Astyanax mexicanus: one gene and its partner. The protein of the gene in region 2 interacts with the protein of the main gene of each other region in a pairwise test. Links are inferred from orthologs where the notes say so. Each region holds a gene or a part of one and is shown on either strand. Other genes may lie near its edges.

Region 1 (10,962 bases), on a different chromosome or scaffold from region 2:
CTCCCATGAGGAACAGGTAGAACGACCCCCTTGCAATGATCTACTTTCACAGCTACACAACAACTACAGGACAAAGAATGCAGGCCTACTGGTACACGAGAGAAATCTCTGACACAGCTCTTACTGAGTGACCAAGTAGCACTTAGGCCCAATCTAATTTCTCATTTGTACCCCTTCTTTTTGTTTTCCAGTGCCAACATTACATTTAACTAAGTTACAAGGAAAAGTAGTTGAATTCCCTCAAGAAAAGGGACAACTCCTCAAGAATTTGATACATCATCAAAAATAAATATAAAGAAAAATGCTTCATTAGCAGGCTACTAGCAATGCTCTGTAGGTGAACCTGCTAGTCTGTTGTCATAGCAAAGGAGCTGTAAATTTCAGCAACCTTACTAATGCTGGACTTTATTTAGAGCATTACCTCTACCCATAATTCCTTGGTGATAACAAGCTAAGGTCAGCTACTTGATAGCTTCCCTAGTGTCTGTTTTTGCTTCTTATGAAGAAAAGTTTCATACTACATTGTAACTACTTTAAACTAAAATAATGCAATTTTTATCAACATTTTACATTCTATGGTCGCTTGAGCAGCCATCTTGTTGGTGATTTCTCATAACCCTCTTTTTGGAATGCACGTCTAAAAAATCTCCATTTAAATGGAGCCATAACACCTCCCCCTCTATCCCAACAAGAATCGGGACATTGGGGCTAAGTGATAAGGGCACGGGGTAACATGGGATTGGGCCCAAGCAACACTTCCTTCACACTCTGAAGTGTGCTCTCTGAATTAAGTCTTCTACATCAATCACAGCATCTACAGTGCAATGATCAGAGATGTTTTGTTCACCCAGATAACAGCTTTCTCCCCCCTATCCGCTCTGTTTTATTGGGTCTGAATCACGGCGAGCTCCGTTTCGCTCGTGCTCTGAATTTTAACATGAACATTCCCGCCGTCTTGGCTCTTCACTGGCATATTCCTGTCACAACTTATTAAACGGTCAACACTCTGAATGCAGTCCCACTGCAGTACATTACTGACCAACAATCACAGACTCATAGCTGTTGTCTTGACAGGGTTCTTGATGGGGTAGAGGAATTCTGCTCAGTGAGTGAAACCCCTATTTCAGAACCTGACAGGGACAAATTACCTTCTATAGCCCAGTCTCTGATAAACATGGCTAGTGCTTCTCAGTGCTCTTGCTTAAGTACCCCTGCTCTGCAGATTTTTGTGTTTTCACTACTTTTACAATGCTTCTGCACAACAAATGTATTAACAGTGGCATATTTATTGGAGATTAGCTGGTTAGTAGAAGTTGGTGTTAGGCTATGTTCAGACTGCCAGCCCAAATCTACTTACAAATCTGCAAATCTAGATTGCGCAATTACTTTTGGGTTTGTGCAATTACAATCAGACTTGTACAGATGTAACTCGGTGTGGATGCTCTATATGCTCAGATTGCATTTTAACATTTATTTTTCGGGTCATTCACAACACAATAAACAACAGCCTTATCAAATCCAGAGTAACGTAAGTGTGCGGGTCCAAGAAGAATGCCAAAGATTATTTACTGATGCCAACATCATTACAACAGCAACCCATGCAGATATGTTATATCCAGACAGGCATATCTGATCTCATCAATTACACATAAATAGTGCAGACAGTCATCTCAGCATTTCTGATTTGATTTGCCTACAGTCTGAACATAGCCTTACAGACCAAACTTGCAGATAGGGTACATATGAGGGTATATATGAGTTTCTTTGATTTTACCAATTTAAAAACCTCTGGAATACAATCAAAAGGAAGATGGATGATCACAAGCCATCAAACCAAGCTGAACTGATTGAATTTTTGCACCAGGAGTTGCATGAAGTTTTACGAAAGCAGTGTGCATGACTGCTGGAGGGGAACATGCCAAGATGCATGAAAACTGTGATTAAAAACCAGGGTTAATCCACCAAATATTGATTCTCTTTTAAAACTTTTTGAATATGAACTTTCAGATAGGGTATACTCCAAGACCAAAACCGGAAACCACTAGGATAAAACCAAAAGGAGAAAATCAAGAATATTTTGCCTTTAGTGAGGTTCTCTTCAATCTGAGGACACCTCCAGTCTGCACTGTTACACTCCTAACAACACTTCTATTTAATTTAAATTCAATCCAATCATTCCCACATGGCTTTAGTGCACTGCTGAGTCATAGATGGTTCTTTACAGAATGCATTCGAAAAGTTTCCTCAGCCAGAAGCAATATGGCTACCAGATTTGGCATGGATTTTTCAATTTATTGCAACATTGCAGCTCGGCATAGCTGGAGTGAGTACAAGTTAGAAAAAGTTAGAACCAAAGATCTACTGCTGTGATAAATTAATGTTAGTGACCTCCTTCTATCCCAGGAGTGGACATCTATCAGCATGGAGTGTTTAAATCTATCTGCTTGGCTCCAATATTCAGATGCTACTGAAGATCTTTATTATCTTGATCAGAAGATATCACCAATCCTTAACCTACCTGCAGGGTGACAGATTTTCTAATTGACCCCTGAGACAGTTCCTGACTGCAAACCAACTATTAGCTACATATTTGAAGCTGGTGAATCACTCTTAACTCTAACTCTTACTATCTAATGACACAGACTGACTATACTGGAACACGCTAATGTTGGACTCGCATGGGTGCAGTGTGGTCTAGGTAGGCTCCGAGTGGGCATGAGCACTGAATGTGCTGTTACCCAGTAGAGCTTTGCAAATAAGGACCATAACAACCAACTTAAATCTTGAAGGTGAGGCTGGGCCATATTGTAAAAATCTTGATATTCATCAAGTTATTCCCAACAACGATTTTAGTTGTTACATAACAACTTCTATTTTTTATTTGAAAAAAAGTGATCTGTAAACAGCCCCCTTTAAACCTGCCTGCAGCTTTTGTAATAAACATGGTTTATTACATGTTAATTTCAGTTAATTAAACATGTAAAGAAAACCACTGCCAAATAAAAGAGTTTTTATAGATTTCTGACAGAAGCACATCTATCTACTGAGATTCACACTGACAGTTTAGAAAATAGTGGCTGATCCATCTCATGTGCTTCACCATGAATACCAACTCCTCCCCTCAGGCAGAAGGTACAGGATGCCAAGATGCCAGCTCAATAGATATAGGAATTCATTTGTGCCAGTTTCTATAAAGCTCTTAAGTAAAAAGCATAGGTAATGTGCAATACCGCTCATGGTTTTGTTTGATAAAATGTGCAATATAAGTAAGGTCTAGGGTTGTGTAGCACAGTCTGTGTTGGGTCAGAGGGAATGTGTAAAATATGCAAATAGTAGCAAGGTCAAGGGTTTATGCAATATTTCTGATATGTAAATATGTGATGTTGTATAGAGTGTTGTGTGTATTTTTTTTTTCAAGGATAATGTCCCCATTGGGGACAACAAAGTCTAATATATTATCTTATATGTAAATTATGCAATCTTGATTATCCCATTTTGAAATTTACATTAGAACATTAATTTTATTAACATCCTACTAGACATCATACGAAGTGTACAACACAAATGGAACCCCTGTTTCTGGTCCCATCACTCATATCCACATATGGTTCCAACATGGAACTCATGAATAAAACTGTCTGGCTACCCATAAAAGGTCGAACATTGGTTATCTTTGGAACAAAATACATTTTCCAGGATAACATACAGATTACAACCTGTAGATATGCTTATAGTAGACCTAATTGGAGGTGTTCCTCATTATTCTGCGCACACGCACAAGTGCACACAGCTTTTCCTTCCCCTCCTCACCTTGTGCAGTTTCCACATCGCCCCGAGCGCTTTGACCTCGTGCGCGGAGTGCCTCCCCTCCTCCAGGCACTGGTAGCACACGGGCATCTTGCACTGCACACAGTACATGCTGAGGTTCTCCAGCTCGTGCTCCGTGCATGTGGAGGTCTTGCGCGGGCTCGCGCGGCGGCTGATGCGCCCCTGCGCGGGTGGCACGAGCCGGTGCTTGGCGAGCGGGCCGCGGGGCGGGTGGCAGCGCACTCGGCACGCGTCGCAGTAGAAGACGTCGCACTGCTCGCACAGCACGGTGGCCTCGCGCGGGGTCTTCTCGCACAGCTGGCAGCGCAGCGCCGCCGCCTTGCTCTGCTGGTAGCGCTCCACCACCGCCTCCAGCACGCGGTTCTTGGGGAAGCCGCGCAGGCCGCGGTCGTCCAGCGTCAGGCTGCGGTGGCACTGCGGGCAGGTGAGGCAGGCGTTTCGGGGGATCATCATCATCATCATGGCGGTGGGATGAGGGTGAGGGTGGGGAGGTGGAGGGGGCGCGCCGGACGCGGTCGGCGGGGGCAGCAGGTGCTGCTGCTGGGACTGCTGGGGGGGCGGTGGGGCCGGCGGAAAGACGCGCACCCCGTTCGGGGACTTGGGGCACGGCGTGGTGGGCGCGCTCGCGAAGCCACCGTAAGAGCCGTAGCCGCTGTCCGCCTCGCTGTACAGGCTCATCTTGTCCAGGTCCAGGTAGTCGTAGTCGGACGCGGCGGAGCCGGAGGCGCGCGCGCTCTGTGGCGAGTCTGCGTCCGGCGTCTGCACCAGGATGTTCCGCGCGCACGCCAAGCAGATATTGTGCGAGCAGGGCAGGATGATGGGCTCGCGGAAAAACGAGCCGCACACCGGACACTTCAGCTCTTCCTCCATCTCCTCCATAGTGGCTCCAAAACGGTGGGAAAAAACCGGGAATGTAAAGAAAAACAAAACAAGCGCTACAGACCCCGGCTGTAAATCTCCCCTCCGTCCGCGCGCAGCCCCCTCTCCTCGGAATGAGCGCACAGACCCGGAGGAGGGGAGATTTATACTGCAGGGGCGGGACCACAGCCTCGACCAATCACCGACCGCGGAGGATGCGCTTTACATCACTAACTAAAGCCCACAGTAAGCAGATATTGGTCAAGGCAGCTGCCATATTCAACGGCTTAGCCAAACAGCAAGCAGCAAGCTGTGGCCGGCGTCCAGACAAAAAAACTAAACTCCTACCGAGACATCACACAGCACTTAAAAAAAGACACGACGACTCAAGACGTGACCATAAAGCGAATTAGGTGAGGAGGTATTCTGCAGCCCCTGCACTCCCGATGCTGTGTCCCAAATCTTTCCTATCTATCTAACACTTCTTCAGTAGGACAGATACATAGATAGATTCATACATAGATACTTTATTGATTCAGATGGTAATTTAGCAGCCAGTAGCCAGTAATTACACAATACAGAACAGTAATACAAAACAATAGTAAGTATTTAAAAGCTATAAAAAACAGTGAGTACATGCACAGCAGGACATCAATATATGGTACTTTCAACTATAAACATAGCACAAAAAGTAAAGGAAATTTGTGCATCTATTGCTGACATATGTGGGAACCGTAACTGTCCAATGAAACACATGTATCTCCAAAACAGCAACTTTACAGGAGAGAGATAAAACCTTCTTAACTTTTTATGGAAGTCAAAGAGATTATTTAAGGTAATTTTGGATTATTTCTATTGGTCCATTCATCAAATCTATTGGTCCATTCATCAGTTTGTGTGTTCAAAAAAATTATATAGAAAACTAAAATCGACGAATCTTGAGATACTTGAGATTACAATGAAATGCACACACAAAGCATTTCTATAGTTTCCATAGAGATGTATTGGTAATAAAATAGCTCTCTCTGGAGCAGATAAACAGGAACCTATTGTTTAATGTCAGGCATGGAGTGAAGATGTATAAATCTCACTAGTATTGATCAGTGGAACAGTGTTCTCTGGAATAATGACACTCATTTCAGTACTGAGGTGAGTTGGGAAGATGAGGATGAGAATGAGAGTGGTGACAATTCAGCATCCTGATCTCATTAATGCAATATCTGGTGGAAAGTCGTCCCTGGACAGTAGAAATGTTTACTCCACAAAAGCAGGATCTCCAGAATGCTGGAGATGTGTACTGATGTGAATATAAAACATTAGGGATAAGCACACTAAAGACACACAGATTAGAAGTACAAGGAAAGCTTGTGAACAGTATTTTAAAATTAGCATGGATCATTATGCCCCCTAACTCTGGAAAAGTGTGTTTTATACTGGAGAAAGAAATTGGTTTGCAGCTGCAAGAAGACAAGTGAGATAATGTGACTGGCAGTTTATTTGGAGTGTTTAATATGTGTGTCTGCTGTTACTGACTCTACAGAGTTCCTCAGTTTTATTCTGCTGAGTCTTGAGGAGGCAAAATGTGAAGGGCACCCAGGTTAAATTTCAGCTACTCCATGAAGCTTTACTGGTGACATTGCTTATTAAGGAATTTGCATAACAGATGGTTGGGTGAGGTGCATGGATTCAATTATAATTTTAAAATGGCATTTACATCTAGTGTGACACATCCGCAGGGCCCTTTTCTGCAGGTCTTCTCAGTTCCTGGAAGTTTCTGGTGGCTAATTAGTTTGGCAGTTGTTTTCTACTCTCTGATTTACGGTGGCCGAGAAAGCCCAACGCAGTGCAAATTGAAAAGCGCTGCAAAAGCACAAAACACATCCATCAAAATTACAACACAGGCGCAGCAAATAGAAAAACGCGCTGCAACTAGAAAAACGCGCTGCAAATAGAACCACAACACAACGGAAGTGAGTCACAACACAACGGAATTTTCCCGGGGGACCTTAAAAGATACTGTACCAGCTAAGCTGCGTCTTCAGTAACGTCTCGGACTTCACTATGTGTACAAAGGACAATAAGTGGCAAACAAGGCGTTTTGTGAAGCAGAACTTTTAATAATATGCACACAACCGTGGTAATCACAGGTAATAAACATAACTTACTTTTCAGAAGCTTGTTTGCCACTTATTGTCCTTTGTATACAGCTGGTACAGCATCTTTTAAGGTCCCCCGGGAAAATTCTGTTGTGTTGTGACTCACTTCCGTTGTGTTGTGGTTCTATTTGCAGCGCGTTTTTCTATTTGCAGCGCGTTTTTCTTTTTGCAGCGCGTTTTTCTATTTGCTGCGCCTGTGTTGTAATTTTGATGAATGTGTTTTGTGCTTTTGCAGCGCTTTTCAATTTGCACTGCGCTGGGCTTTCTCGGCCACCGTACTGATTTGTTACAGGCCTACAATGTCAAAAAGCTCTATGTACACTTTTAATTCCAAACATATAAATCCACAGTGGAACTGGACATGTTGATCTTCATGATGATGCTGATGTACACTCACCTATAAAATTCTAAATCTTAAATAACTTTACCCTAACTTTTCATTGTACAATTACAATTAGTTTGAATTAGACTTGCAACTAGCTTTTTTCCATCTGTTTTATTTGCTTGACCATAGCAATTGATATAACACAAAATTGTGAAGTTGAATTAAGTACAGTTCCAGTAAACAAACTTTTTTTTATCAAATAATTTAATAAAAAGTAACCTATCCAAGGTTAGAGTGTGTCTCTATTGTCCAAATAAGGATTATTCCTATCACAGATGTGGACTAATGTAGTGTTAGGAGTCTTGCCCAAGGACTCTTATTGGTGTAGCGCGGCATAGTCACCCAGACTGGGAATTGAACCCCAGTCTCCCACATGATGTGGTAGCTCACTAGCAGGTAGTGGCCTAGGCCTTAATGCATTCTAAAAAAAAAAAATCAAAGTGTGCTGTTTACATGTATATAATAATTAGCATAAACATTCTAGTGCAGGAATGTCCTGACATGTTGTGCAAATGAAAAATAAACAATAACTTACATAACTGGAGAAACCCAATTACGGTCAGAATATTGAGTGCATTAAATACACTTCCTGAGCCAAATTCGCAAAGAAAAAAAATGCATACATAAACTGTCATATATAAATGACATAAAATGATTTACCTAAATATAAGGCCAGTGTATGCACTGGAATGCTGACAAGAAACAAGGAACATCTGAAGAGTTAATTTGCAAAAACAGATAAGTGCTCTTCTTTAAATAGACCTTTATGTGTTTTTGCAAATGAACTCTTCAGTGTAACTTTGTGGTTAGTTTTGGTATTATGAATGCAGTGTATGACGTGAATATGAAGGGAATGAGAAGAAATAAAAGAATGTGCTTTAAGGCAGGAGTTTTTTTTAAAGGTGAATAAAGGAGCTGAGAGTACAGCAGCATACTGTAGTAGCCCCTTTATTAAGCAGGGCACTTTTGTCTGACAAATTCCTACTGAAGAGCACTATGCACATGCAGTATTATGGGTTACGGAGAGTACTGTGAGTTAATAGCAGGCTTAAGTGTGCGTAATGTGTATGTGAGGTGTGAGGCGTAAGCGCTGAGGACGAGTGCTGCACACTATCTGTAGGTGTTAATGCTGTAATGGTGAGATACTGTATGAGAGTTCAGTTTGTTGTCTGTGGGCCAGAAATGTCAACAGTGCTGAGTTAGAGTGTTTTCTCTTCTCTGGAGCGCTGGATCCTGATGAGTGCAGCTTTACTTTGTCCCATTGTTCCTGCCTTCAGCCGTGTTTCCAGGGTAACCTGGCTGAGTGCAGAACGAGAGAGCAGCAAAGAGAGAAATAGCCTTCACTCAAACAGAACGACATGCTGGCATTTTAAGGGTCCACCCATCGGGTGGTGGAGTTTGGTAGGAGGCAGTGTGATTAGGTAGCCACAACACACACACATACAAACACACAGGTAACTTGCAAATTCTGTGACATATACAGTATATACACTGACATGCCAGAAGTCATGGAATAGCCAGATGTAAATTGATCATGAAGTGTTACCTCGGGGGATGGCTTGGAAACGCTCATGTCTGTGTGCTGTTGGCAAAGTGCCACATTTTTTTTTAACACATATAGTGTCACATGTGTAGCAGAAATATGTACATCATATAATTAGCACCCACAGGGGACAGCACAGTGGCTGGTAATGATCGTGACCAGTGGCGCCTTGCTAGAATTATCCATGCAAACAGAAAAATGGGCATGTTTTTTACTGTTTACTTTTTTACTTTTCAACTACCTTGACCATCAAAGCTTAGTTTATATGATCACTTCATGATTAATTTACATAGTGCTATCCCATGACTTCTGGCATGTCAGTGATATATATATATTAGTTTTTTACATTGATTTTTAGGCATAATTTACATACAGCTTCTACACTTTTAAATGTGTAAACGCTAAATTTATGATAAATAGAAACAGTACAACTTGTCAAAGGTACCAGACATGCCAAATATCATGGGACATGATTGGAAGATCGCTGGTTCAAATCCCGGTCATGCAGCTTGCCATCAGCTGCTGGAGCCCTGAGAGAGCACAATTGGCCTTGCTCTTTCTGGGTGGGTAGATGGCACTGTTTCCCCTCATCACTCCAAAGGGTGATGTCGATCAGCACAAGGCGTCTGTGAGCTGATGTTTCGGAGCCGAGGCGCTGCACTTTCCTCCGAGCGCACTGGTTACTCCGCAATGGTACATTAGCAGCAGGCGGTGGCTGACTTCATCATGGGACATGAGCTAGTATTGTGTCCCAGGACATTTGTCATATCCCGTGTAAACTAGGTCAAAGTGGGTCATGCTGCATTGACCTGTAGGTCATGTGGGTCTCTTGGATTAAATGTGGATGTGATTTTTGCCAGAGTTGCTTGTTTGTTTGCGCGGGTCAGGTCTTTTTAAACACTGATAATTCACGTTGCTTTGCTATGAGCTTGCTGGCCAGTGTTCAAGCTCACATACAAGAAAACACCTCACTATTTACCCAGGTGTGGGCTTTTCTCGAGCTGTCCTCTACGGCAGCACTTCATGATTAATTGACACACTGATTGACAGACTTTTGGCCAGTGAATATATTATACAGAGTGTTTACAGACTTTAGAATATATTTGGAATATATCAAGGACATAAGGACACATACATTATATAGAGCACTATTCCTGTAATAGGGAGTGATTCTGAGGACAGTGTGTGTGTTTGTGTGTGTGTGGTACAGACAGTGTAACTGCCAGCAGAGAAATTGTAAGAGCGCTGGCCTCTGAATGCTGTAATTATGTGAGTGCAGACATCTTTATGGACTAGAGAGGAGAAAGAGAGTTCTGGCTCGCATCAGCAACAGCTTGAAACATGCAGAGCTCACTGAGGAAGCTTCTAGAGTGTGTATGTGTGTGTGTGTGTGTGTGCGTTTCATCAGTGAATTCAGATCTGTAAAAGGCAGGTGTGGGGGCGTATTGAAATGTCTGTGAGGAACGTGAGTTTGTATGTGTGTGATTGGGACATGAGTAAGTTGAAACGATTTAGTGAGTGTATGTGGGTGGACGGTGCGTGTTGTTGGTGGAGAGATGGTGCCTGTATGTGTGTGTGTGTGTGTGTGTGTGTTATAGTGTGTGAGGGCTTGGTGAGAGCCATGTGAGTGTGGTGCGCGTGCTTCTCTCTGGTGCCTCTGCGTCTGTGGAGGGATTACTGGGTAATTAATCGCTTAATGATTTTTATTCTGATGGTGGAAAAGTGGGTCGGTTCCAGCATGTGACTAGAAGTTCAGTAAGCTCCTCCCACCACAACTTCCTTGCACCTGCTGCATCTCATTTGACCTATGGATGTGGCAGAGTGATCAAACACAAGCTGGCCATGGACAGACGCTCTCTTCAGCGCACCTACTGCGCATACTTTACTGGGAAATTAGCCAATGCACACATTTCTCCTAATTAATAAAATGCTGCTCAATGAGCTCTTTTTCAAAGCGCATGTGGTCATGGCAACAAGCTGGAGAAAGCTGAGTTCCAACGCCTCCACAATGTGTTGTACACTCACAAAGCATGTTTAGGACTATTAGAATGACTACAGTAATACAAAATTGAGCCTTTGTTTGATCTTCAAACAGCTTTAGTTTTTCATGGCACAGATTCCTGAAGATTGGAAACATTCCTGTAAGATCCTGGTCCATGATGAACTTAATGAGAGCTGCTGGTAGCAGGATG
Region 2 (11,271 bases):
CGGCGTTGGAGATGGCACATTCACACACTTCCATCATGTTCTCAATGTCCTGCTCCTCCCGTGCATTCAGCTCCTGGTAGTCATCCAGAGCATCCTCATCACCCCCGGCAACACTCTGGCTCTCGCCACTGGGAACCGACTCTGTGGAGGAAATGCAAAATGTGTAAAATGTGATTCCTAGAGGTTGTGCAGAATGTCTATGGCACCTCTGATTATGGGCTGTGTACTGGTAAGAACCTGCCATCCAAAATCCACAGGGAAAAGAAGAACAGCAAAACTCTGCTACCACCGAATTGCAACTCTTTCATAAAGTCAGGCCTGATTACCAAACCTGTGTAACCTTATAACTGTACTGATAAGCTTGGGAAGAAGCTACTGTAATTCTATACATGACTCCTTTGTCTGTTTCAGTGTCCCACCTTTCACACACCTTACTTTAAAAACATGCATCTCACTAAGTCAAAATTAATAAATCAAAGAACATAATTTCCTGAAACATACAAACACATACATATGCGTATGAATGCTATTCAGAATACATATAGGATCTGTCAGGGCTGTGTGATTCCTAATTAATAGAGAACTATAAATGTATGAACTCAAATCTCTTTTCACATAAATACACAATTCCCAATTTTTTGCATAATAGCAGTGTTTGTATAAAATATAAAACATGGTTTGTATTGCACACAAAAAGTGATGTATGAAAAGTATGAGAGTAAACTCAAGACAAAACAAAAACTGTTACAGGCAGGGCTGAAACTGAATGATGGAAAACAGAAAAAAAAATAAAACATGGATGGAAATGAAGAAAGTTATAGAAATCGGGTACAGTACCAACCTTCAGCTTTAGGAAGTTCTGACCAGTGAGAGATTTTAAGAGAAGAGTACAGAACATAGGTTATAAGAGTATAATTCCACTCACTTAAAGACAGACAGACAGAGAGAGGGAGGGAGAGAGGGAGAGAGAGAAAGAGAGAGAGAGAGAGAGAGAGAGAGAGAGAGAGAGAAAAGGGGGATGAGTAAGCAAAAGGGAGAAAGAGAGGAGAGCAACTGTGTGAGAGAGTTCAAAGAGAGCAAAAGAAAAAAAAAAGAGAGATTTTTAGTCTAAACTACATTTTATATTAATACCAAATTGTCTCTAATCTCTAAGAGTGACAATTACACTTACTTCCTGCATCTATTAGTAACAATGCAAAATCTTTAATAACATGTTGTTACTACAGTACATGCATCATGCTAGTTATAACACATCTCCACCATTAAACCTCAGCGCTCAATTAGAAACAATAGTAGGTTCTACCTTCCAGCAGCTGGGAGCTGACATTTACAAACTCCACTTTCTTTCTCAGGTAGCGCTGATTCAGCTTCCAGATGCAGGAAATAAAGGAGTTCTTCTCTGCTGTGCTGCTGGCCACCCAGCGATACACTTTCTCAAAGTGTAGGTCAAACTCTGGATTCTCCTGCAGGAAGTCAAAGTAGACGATAAGACAGAGAGAATGGCTGGAAACAGAATCTCTGAATCTTCTGAGGGTGCAACGTGGAAATTCTCAATAATCCTTGGATCAAAACGAACACGTGAAACACACTTGCACATTTGTAGTTGTTCCATCACAGACAGTCTATCTTAAATTAAACTATTTGTTCTTTCGTGTCTGAATTGGCATTTTCAATACAAATTTTATTAACAAACTTGAATACTAGTAAGAAACAACAGTAAAACAGATTAGTCAATACCCAAACAATAAGAATGATTCTCAAATTATTTATTTCTTATTGTATATACAAATGGATGCAACAAAGAACAACAGCCAGATTACATTTTTTTTATATAAAAATTATGTCAATGTTAAAAACACGATTCTTGCAGGCAAGATCATTTTTATGACGATGTGAAAATGCAATCATTTTTTTTTTTTTACTTAATTTAAGATGTTATTTATCCAATTCGTCCTCTTATTATTACTATTATGTGATACTATTTTGTGTTATGTTAATATTACAGAATGTGAGCTTGTTTTAAATATAAAATCTCACCTTGTTAGCATCTTTGGCATCAACCTCAGCCAGGTCACGAAGCTCCCAGGCCATCTGTCTCTTGTAAAAGTCTCCTTTGTCTGACTTCTTTACTTTTACCACCCTGACCTGCACTGGGCGCTCCGTTGTCACTGGAACAGAAAAAATTAGTAAATTTGCAGTGACATTCCCAGTTACAAACTGCCATGAATAAATATTAGCAGTCTCTGAATTCTACAACATTACATAATAATCTAATATCAGACGCGTTTTAAACTGGTGTCTCACTACGCATCATTCTTTACCTGTGGCACACAGGAAACAATTCTTCTTCTTCTTCCCGGCCTTACAGACGTTGACGATGCTAAGCAGGCGCTCATCGTTGGGAGTAAAGATGTCCCTCTGGAGAGCATGCTTTATGGCAGTCATTTTGCCTCCTAGAAAAGGTACATTCTGATTACAAACTCAAAAAGGCATGAGTATAAGGCTGGTTTGGAAGAAAAGAGATTCTAAAGCACTTCCTAAAGTAGACGAACAAAACTATAAGATTATTATATGTCGAAGACTCTAAACTCTGGTGTCACTTCTTAAATTTAAATAGCTGTTCACCAATTTTACATGATTCTATTGTAAAATGTTAAAATACCTTCTTTTAGGTGGTATTGCACAGAAAACACACGCTATACTAATGTTTGAAAATATGACAAATCTATATTTCAATATATTTTTTTAATTTCGGTCGATATCATACAATTCTGATATTGATATGAACAGTAAAAAAAGCCACCACCCCTGGTGTATGTAATTTCACAGTGAGAGCTGGGTGATATAGTAAAAGTATATATATATATATATATATATATATATATATATATATATATATATATATATATATATATATATATATATATTGACATATATATTGTCTATATTACAATCATGAAATTACCTTACGATTTATTGTCCCAGAAATTATTGCGATATATGATATTTATGTAATTTTAGGACTATTAAATGCCACTGACATAATGAAAACAGAATAGCATAAAAAAGTAATTATACACTTTTTAAAGGAAAAAAAAAAACAATTTATTTTAATTAGTCTGGGAATGATATACTTATTTCTTCACCTACTTTAGTTCACACTGTGTGTATGTTATGGCGTCACAGTTGTTAAAGCATGACTCGCTAAAATACTATTCACTGTTATATGTGTGGACAAACATACAAAAAAACACAATAGACGATATCACGATTATCAAAAATTATTGAGGTTGTGTTAATTTATTATACGATAAATCAATATTGCAATTATTGTGACAAGCCAGAACCAGTAACTTTTAAAATGTCTATTATTAAAACGTTTAAAATAATTATTCATATTGCAACTTTTAAAATAATAAAAAAAAAATCTAAAAAATAATAATAATGCTTATTATTGTTGTCCTTGTGCTATTATTATAGGAAAAAATCTCAATATTCTTTAAATATATGCACGATTCATCATTAAGATATTTAGTTTTTAGACACATTCAGTTTATTTTTTCATTTGTTCATTTGTAAACAGAAAGCACACTTTAACATTAAATGCACTGGTCAGCCGTAACATTATAAACCAATACCCTAACAACACCAATCCTCTATGTTTGTATGAATCATTTGAATAACTAATGTTTTCTTTGTAAAACAGAAAACCAAGAGCCTACTGAATAGCGGATAACTACAGATACTTTAAAAGTGGATCCCTGCTTGGCAGCACACAGGGATGTGTGGTGGAGATGGCAGGTGGATATCTTAGTTTTGACATGTGTCACATTAGACTGATAGCCAGCCAGCCAACCTAGCGTAGCTACCTTAGCTAGCTAAACTAGATTAGCTACAATGCTAACAGATAGCTGAGTTAACTATCTGACATCTTGAGAGCTAACAAGATGTACAAATTCTCTGTCTGCACTGCCCAGTTTAAAGTCATTTCTTAACGCCACACGATTTCCTGACTGTCCGAATGACCCTGAGTTGTTGACTCTGTTTGTTTAAATGAAGCTAACCCAGCTAACACTGAGCTGCAGGACTTCCCCCGGACAGGCCGTGTTTACCCGCTAATAATAATAAGACCTCACCTCAATACAGGGCCGCACAGCCTCCAGCACAGCGAACAACAGCGGTTTATCCTTCACACAACAAACCCCGTCCACATTAACCTATAAAAACAGCGCTAACATTACTGTCTATTTCACGGCCACAGCCCAACCTGCTCCACCATCACAACAACAGCCCTGTTTCCGCTGCGGAGCTCCTTCAGCTGGAGCTCTGACTCCGCTCCCCGGCTCTCTGACTGCAGCGCGGCCTACCGGCCCGGAGCCACTAATAACACTCACATAGACATTATATACATTTACATCATATACATTTACATATATTTACATATATACAGTACAGGGCAAAAGTTTGGACACACCTTCTCACTCAAAGCGATTTCTTTATTTTTTCATGACTATTTACACTGTAGATTCTCACTGAAGGCATCAAAACTATGATAAACACGTGTAGAGTTTTATGTACTTAACAGAAAATGAGCTGGAATCCACAGTCACCGGACCTGAACCCAGTCCAGATGGTTTGGGGTGAGCTGGACCGCAGTGTGAAGACAAAGGGGCAACAAGTGCTAAACACCTCTGGGAACTCCTTAAAGACTGTTGGAAAACCATTTCAGGTGACTACCTCTTGAAGCTCATTGAGAGAATGCCAAGAGTGTGCAAAGCAGTAATCAGAGCAAAGGGTGGCTATTTTAAGGAAACTAGAATATATATATATATATATATGTTATTTTACCATTTTTTGTTAAGTACATAAAACTCCACGTGTTCATTCATAGTTTTGATTCCTTCAGTGAGAATCTTCAATGTAAACAGTCATGAAAATAAAGAAAACGCATTGAAAAAAAAAGGTGTGTCCCAACTTTTGGCCTGTACTGTACATTTCTACATATTTATACATATTTATGTATAAATGTCTATGCTCTCACATATAGCCACTGCTGTGTGAGTCGATATTAAAGGACCAATTTGTGGGACATTCCAGGATTTTGGTACATTTCCTGTCCGACCACTTAAATTTCAAATGTACATATCCAAAATATCTAAATGACTATTTTTTGTGAAAAATGTACTTGTTATAAGACAAACTGTAAAATATGGTGGAAAAATAAGCTCCTTATATATTATTCAAAAGAGTTTGGACCACCTCAAAAAATGGCTGTTTTCTCTTGTCCCACACATTGGGTGACCAACTCCTTTGGCAAATTTAACAATTAAAATAAGCTCTAAATAAATTACTTCCTCTTGTTGATATGTGTCCCACAACATGCGCGCAACCCTGTTACCATAAGGAATTTTACCTGGCAGAGAAAGAGTTAAAAATATTTGTCTACTACCACAAAGGAAGTTACATCACAAGGACATTTTCTGCCCACATGGCAAGACCAAGAGTAAGTGCTCTAACAATTTTCCAAATGTCCAAGTTGTGTGTGTCACTCAGTGAACGCAACCCTGTTACTCATGTTGTAAGACTAATAATGAGTATAGTCAATTTTTTCTTTATATAATTATATAACCATGTTTGTCCTTGATCTTGTATACACAGCTAAATTTTACAGTTAGCATCTGTTCCTGAGGTAAACCACAACTTAATTTAAAAAACTGCTTTGATACCTGAGCTTGACAAATCAAACTTTTTGATAGTCTATTACCTGTGTTTAATAAATATATGACTAAAATGATCAAATTGAAGATCAAATTTTCAGAAGTGACCATCTCTGAAATCCTGGAATGTCCCATGTGTTATATTTTCAGATTTTGCAGGTTAACTAACTAGCTAATGGCTTATATTAACTCACCATCACAATTAAACATTGTGAATACATACATTAGCTAATCAACAACTATGCTTGCATTGTAAAATTCATCATGAGCTTATTTTGCACTTGTTTGTGTAGGAGGGGGTGGGGCACATAGCAGCTCTTACCAGTACTGTAAAATTGAACTGTGGTAGCCATTTTACACACTTGTGGTCATTTAAGCAATAATACACGAGAGGCAGTGCGGCCTGTGGCCTAATGCCTAAAGCAGTGCCAATATTACACGCTATATCACAAACCTCGAGTGTATTATTGCGATTATACCACAGCTCTTTTATGGCTGTTTATTTAAAAAAAAATGTAGTTAAAGAGGATAAGAAAATGCAATCTATTTGGTTATAAAAGCAAGTTAAAATAGTTCCATTGTTGCTCTGTTTGTAGCTGCGCTGTTTGGCTTGTACCAACCGGCTGATAATGGCACTCACAGAACGCCTCGCAGCCAATCACATTGCAGGGTTGGAACTGTGGTTTCTTTTAATAATTATTTAGGCAGTAACTTAATATATATTTTGTTAAACCGGTGGTGTAAAGTGGTGGTAAAAAGTGCAAACATATCATGTCACATCATCAGAAATAGTTAATTTGAGACATACACATTTGCTTCTGTTTTTTACTTGTAATGTTTGTAAATATGTCGCTATCTAAAAAATTTAAACTTGGTATCACTGTCTGTCAGATGTAAAATACAATTAATTTAGACCTACTTTCTCCTTTTCTGTTTCTGGTAGCCGCTCAGATATCATGCCCAAATGGGGCCTGTGTGGGTAACCCAATAGGAAAACAGAAAGTTTGGTCCATGGGTTCCATGTTGGCCCCACATATGGGTATAACGGTTGACCCTATCGAGGTCAGTGATAGGACTAGACGTGGGGTATGCACACCATCCACTGCAGAGTTTCTGTTCAAGAGTGGTAAGTTTCAGTACCAGACAGCTACATTGTTAAAAACTAAAGATACTAAATGTTTTACTTCCAGTCATGTAGTTGTAGAATCATGTTTTTCATAGTTGTCTTTGTTCACACTAGATGTAGATAATGCAAACGATGCAGATGAAGATTCTTTCTGTGGAGGTTGATGTACTGTATATGGACTCTATAATGCCTGAGCATGCTCAGTTAACACAACAGAATTACACACCTGTAAACTTTATATTTGCGAAACATGCAGCTGTAAGTCATTTTTAAAGCAAACTTGTTTTTTAACTTGTGTAGTCTGATCAGAAGACAAACCATGGAAAAGTGAAATATCAAAACATACAGCCGTGTTTCTGTGATGACTCAGGGTCATGACAGTCCAGTGTGGCCTGAGGAGATGACGGGTAGACGTGGCAGCCTGATAAAAGACAAACACTAAAGAGTGTGATGGTGACATTTCACTTTAGCAACACTTCTCACCTACACACAGCTGACTGTGACTCACACAGCATGTTGTATTTTTTTTTTATTATTATTATTATTTATTTATTTTTTTTATAATGTGTTTTTATGTTTTTACCAACCATTTATATTCTGGGTCCCCTCAGTTTCTCTTCTCAAGGGGTGATTATTGTTAGCAGGTCATTACAGTGAAACATCAGTGCTATGATAATTTTTTTTTCTTTTTATAGGGGTATCTCCAGTGTTCCACCAGTGAGACACAGGCAAGACAAGAGAGTTGGTCAAATCCTGTACAGTATCTGGAGGAGTCGGCAATAGCTGTTTGACTGGGACCTTTCTAGACTATTTGTTGTACAACACAATATCTTTTATTAAATGTAGCCCAGTCTTTTTTGAGAGAAAGGTTGTGTAGCTGTTAGAAGTTGTTAGTACGTTAGAAGTTGGAATGCAAAAAACTGAAAAGCCTCAAACAGAGGTACAAGATGAGATTCAGAGAACTGCTCTGGAATAAAAACTTTACTTTTAATTATAAGTATCTTATTTATAGTTTACTTAAAGAAATATGGCTACAGTAGTAATTTCTGCAGTGCACCTGAGTTTCCAGTGGTCCTCCAGTGGGATCAATGTCTCCTTAACAGCCAACAGTCAACACATAATGTGTTGATGACATAGGTTATAAGATGAAATATGGTTGACTCTCTAATTACAACTGTAATCATTTATTAATGTTATTTTTATTTATTTCATGATCTATAAGTACTCAAATAGCTAGTCTGTGATACAGTCCTTTGCTAATAACTCTTGCACTTCAGTCTTTAGTGACTTCAGTATAGAAAAAGATGCATTTTTAAATATTTTGAGTAGTGTCTGTAAAGAATTTGCCTCATTTTGCCTTGGTTTAATCAAGAATAAAACAAGAAAATATTGTGGGGGGTCTTAACATTCGCCACAATCAACTAGTTCTAGTAATGGCCTTGCCTTTCCTGATAACGGACTTGGACTTGTTCTTGCTCTTACTGAGAAAATAAAACCTTCTCGAAATAAAACTGCTGAAGCTGTTGGCATGCTCTCAGAACCGTTACATTATTTAATGTGTTTGGCAGTACTTGGATGGTCAAAATCATAAAACGCTCCAACTTCTAAGCCTGAACTTTGATGGTTTGGAAAAATGTCAGTGCAGATTTTTGAAGTGAAAACTCACCTGTATTTACGTATTTAGCATATATTGTCAGCATACATTTTTGAGACTTTTGAAAAAATGTGAATGTAAAAATATATTGAATGCCAAATGCAAGTCATAATTATTAAAAAAAAAAAAGGTTTAAAAAATGCTCATAGAAGAGAACTTTTATTCAGTAATGAAAATTGCCATTTATGAATTATTTAAAGTGTGTGACAGTAATCAATGCCTGCAGTAAACTTTTCATCCACTAAGAGGAGCTGTCTGCAGTCACTTTGTGAACCTGTGTAGGGGGAATGGTGCTTGTATGTAACATCAAATGATTAAAACCGTGGAAGAGATCTGTAAGAAATGTAAATGTGTAATTCAGATTTAAAGGTACACAATTACATCTTAGATACATGAACAGCCCTTTACCATCACCATCCTTGTCCTTTTACAAGCTGGCCTATTTCTAACATACTCAGAATAGCGTAATTGGTGGTTTTGTCAGTGGACTATTCATATTGTGATTGTAGTTTATATGTTTTGCTGTTATTATGTGGATATTAGTCTTGGTGAGGCCTATGTAACCTTTTGTTGAGATCATTTGTGTAATTAAGTCTAGGATTAGGCTGATATTTTGTCATTAGCTTTTCTGTGGTAAAGGTTATGAAAGCATTTCTCTTGTTCACCTCAGAAGGGTGTATATTTTGTCTGCTGAAGCTCATTAACTTACTTACCTAGGAATCATTTAGGTGACTGAATGTTTTGAATATGCTGTATTCTGATATATTCAACAGCCAGTTTGGTCATTGTGCCTGTGAGACAGACCTGGATAATGCACTAAAGAGCCAATTTTTCCTTCCGGCTGTTCTATTCAGGCGTATTCACAGTCCTTTATAGCTGTGCTATTTCAGTGTGAAATTAGAGGTGAACTCTAACCTTTAAGTGACCTGAAAAAACCCTTAACTATAGAGTGACCATCCACTACTGCAGTTAATTTACATCAGTGTTGCTCACCTGGCTCATTTATTTTCAATGCTTTTACACAGTTTAATCAGTAATATAACAAAGTTAAATCAGTGTTGAATTATGTGTTTGTTTTGAAAGGTAAATCAACATTGACATTGCAACTTTGTTTTAACATCTTATTTTTTAACATTTAACAAATAATAAATTATTTTCCTTTATTCTACATTGTACAATCTTGAAGAAGATGGTTTTTCAAGGGTTTAGTAGAACCATCAATTTAAATTAAACACTTTTTTCTAATAATTGTCATATTTGTATGACTAAAACATTACATGGTTTCCAAGTTAAAAAGTATTTTGTTAACATTTTCTCGACCATTTAAAATAACCCGTTGTTTCAACATTTTTTTTACATTAAAACTGCAATTGGTATTTTTTCCACCACATTTTAAAATAGAAGGTCGGTCATGGGCCGGAGATGCTAGCTTATGCTAGCAACCTAGCTTATTAGGTAGACAGGCAAACAGACAGACAGCTGCAGGGATCTTAAAACGGAAAAAGGAAATGGATGTCTGGAGGAAAATGCTGCTGGCTCATTTTACTAAGATGAAGGTGCTTTATTAAAATTCAGATTTCTACATTTAAACTGATTTCTATAGAACAAGTATTGTCACACGCATACAAACAAAAACACTGAAGTGTCCTACGTTGGTCCTTTAAAACTCTTAATCTCAGACCTCTAAGATTCTGTGGTACTTTTGAAAAGAAACCATACCTTACAACTGAAAACCTGCTATAAATTTAATAATATTAAAGTGTTGCACAAATATAATAAAGTATAGTATAGTACCAGTCAAATACTTTACATTTTTTTTTCTTACATTGTAAATGAATACTAAAGTCATCCTGACTATGAAACAACACATAAGGAGTCATGTAGTAACTTAATGTGTTAAAACAAACCGAAGTACTCTGTGAAGTATTTAGGTGCTCTTATCTGTGGAGCTGTTAACTTTCTAAGGCTGGTTACTCTAAAGAAATTTTCGTGTGCAACAGACGTAACTCTTGGTCTTCCTTTCCTGGGGCAAGTTTTCCTTTTCCTGAGCCAGTTTCATCATAACATTTTTGATGGTCTCTGTGACTGCACTTGGGGATACTTTCAAAGTCCTTGACTGACCTTCATTACTTAAAGTATATATTTTTTCTTTTTTTAGTAGTTTAGTTGTTCTTGCCATAATGTGGATTCCTCAAATAGGGCTATTCTCTGTATACCAACTCTACCTCTTCAACCATTTTTCTTGTGAGCAAAAGTATTGAAACACGTAACTGTCAGGTGTGTTTTGTTGCCCAAGTGTGTCTTAATATATTGATTAATCAAACAATAATCAGCACTGAATGTCTACTTTTAGTTTCAGATTTGGGTTTTGCCTGTGCAGACTGAACATTTATAGTTAGAGGAGTAAATAACATGAAAATCGGAGATCTGTCTATGGGTGAAAAGCAAGCTGTGAAGCTGAGAAAAGATGGAAAATCAAATTAGAGCCATTGCACAAATATTTTTATAGCCAGAACAACAGTTTGGAATGTCCTAAAGAAGAAAATCAAGTACAGAGAGTAGCCTGTGGACTAATTATGTACTGATGAGACAAAAATTAACATTTACCAATGTGGTGGAAAAGTTGGAGAAGTTTGGAAAAAGAAAGGATCTGTGAAACATAGTGGAGGTAGTGTCATGATTTGGGCTTGCATTGCTTATTCTGGGATGGGCTCATTAATCTTCATTGATGTACAATGAACTCAGAAGTTCTGTTTAAAGTTTTTCTCAAATTA

What was found. The genes of interacting proteins can lie anywhere in the genome.
Region 1: the proteins of exoc1 (region 2) and trim9 interact in a two-hybrid assay, tested with the Homo sapiens proteins (2 studies listed by BioGRID and IntAct). The link is inferred for Astyanax mexicanus from reciprocal best matches to the Homo sapiens genes EXOC1 and TRIM9.

The regions. Positions count from the first base shown.
Region 1 is NC_064414.1:38,991,125-39,002,086, reverse strand, and holds the start of trim9 (E3 ubiquitin-protein ligase TRIM9), read right to left. Parts: upstream 4,836-10,962; 5' UTR 4,708-4,835; coding exon 3,811-4,707; intron 1-3,810. UniProt on the Homo sapiens protein: E3 ubiquitin-protein ligase which ubiquitinates itself in cooperation with an E2 enzyme UBE2D2/UBC4 and serves as a targeting signal for proteasomal degradation.
Region 2 is NC_064408.1:63,950,087-63,961,357, forward strand, and holds the start of exoc1 (exocyst complex component 1), read right to left. Parts: upstream 4,324-11,271; 5' UTR 4,137-4,323; intron 2,454-4,136; 5' UTR 2,446-2,453; coding exon 2,322-2,445; intron 2,169-2,321; coding exon 2,038-2,168; intron 1,464-2,037; coding exon 1,304-1,463; intron 860-1,303; coding exon 842-859; intron 142-841; coding exon 1-141.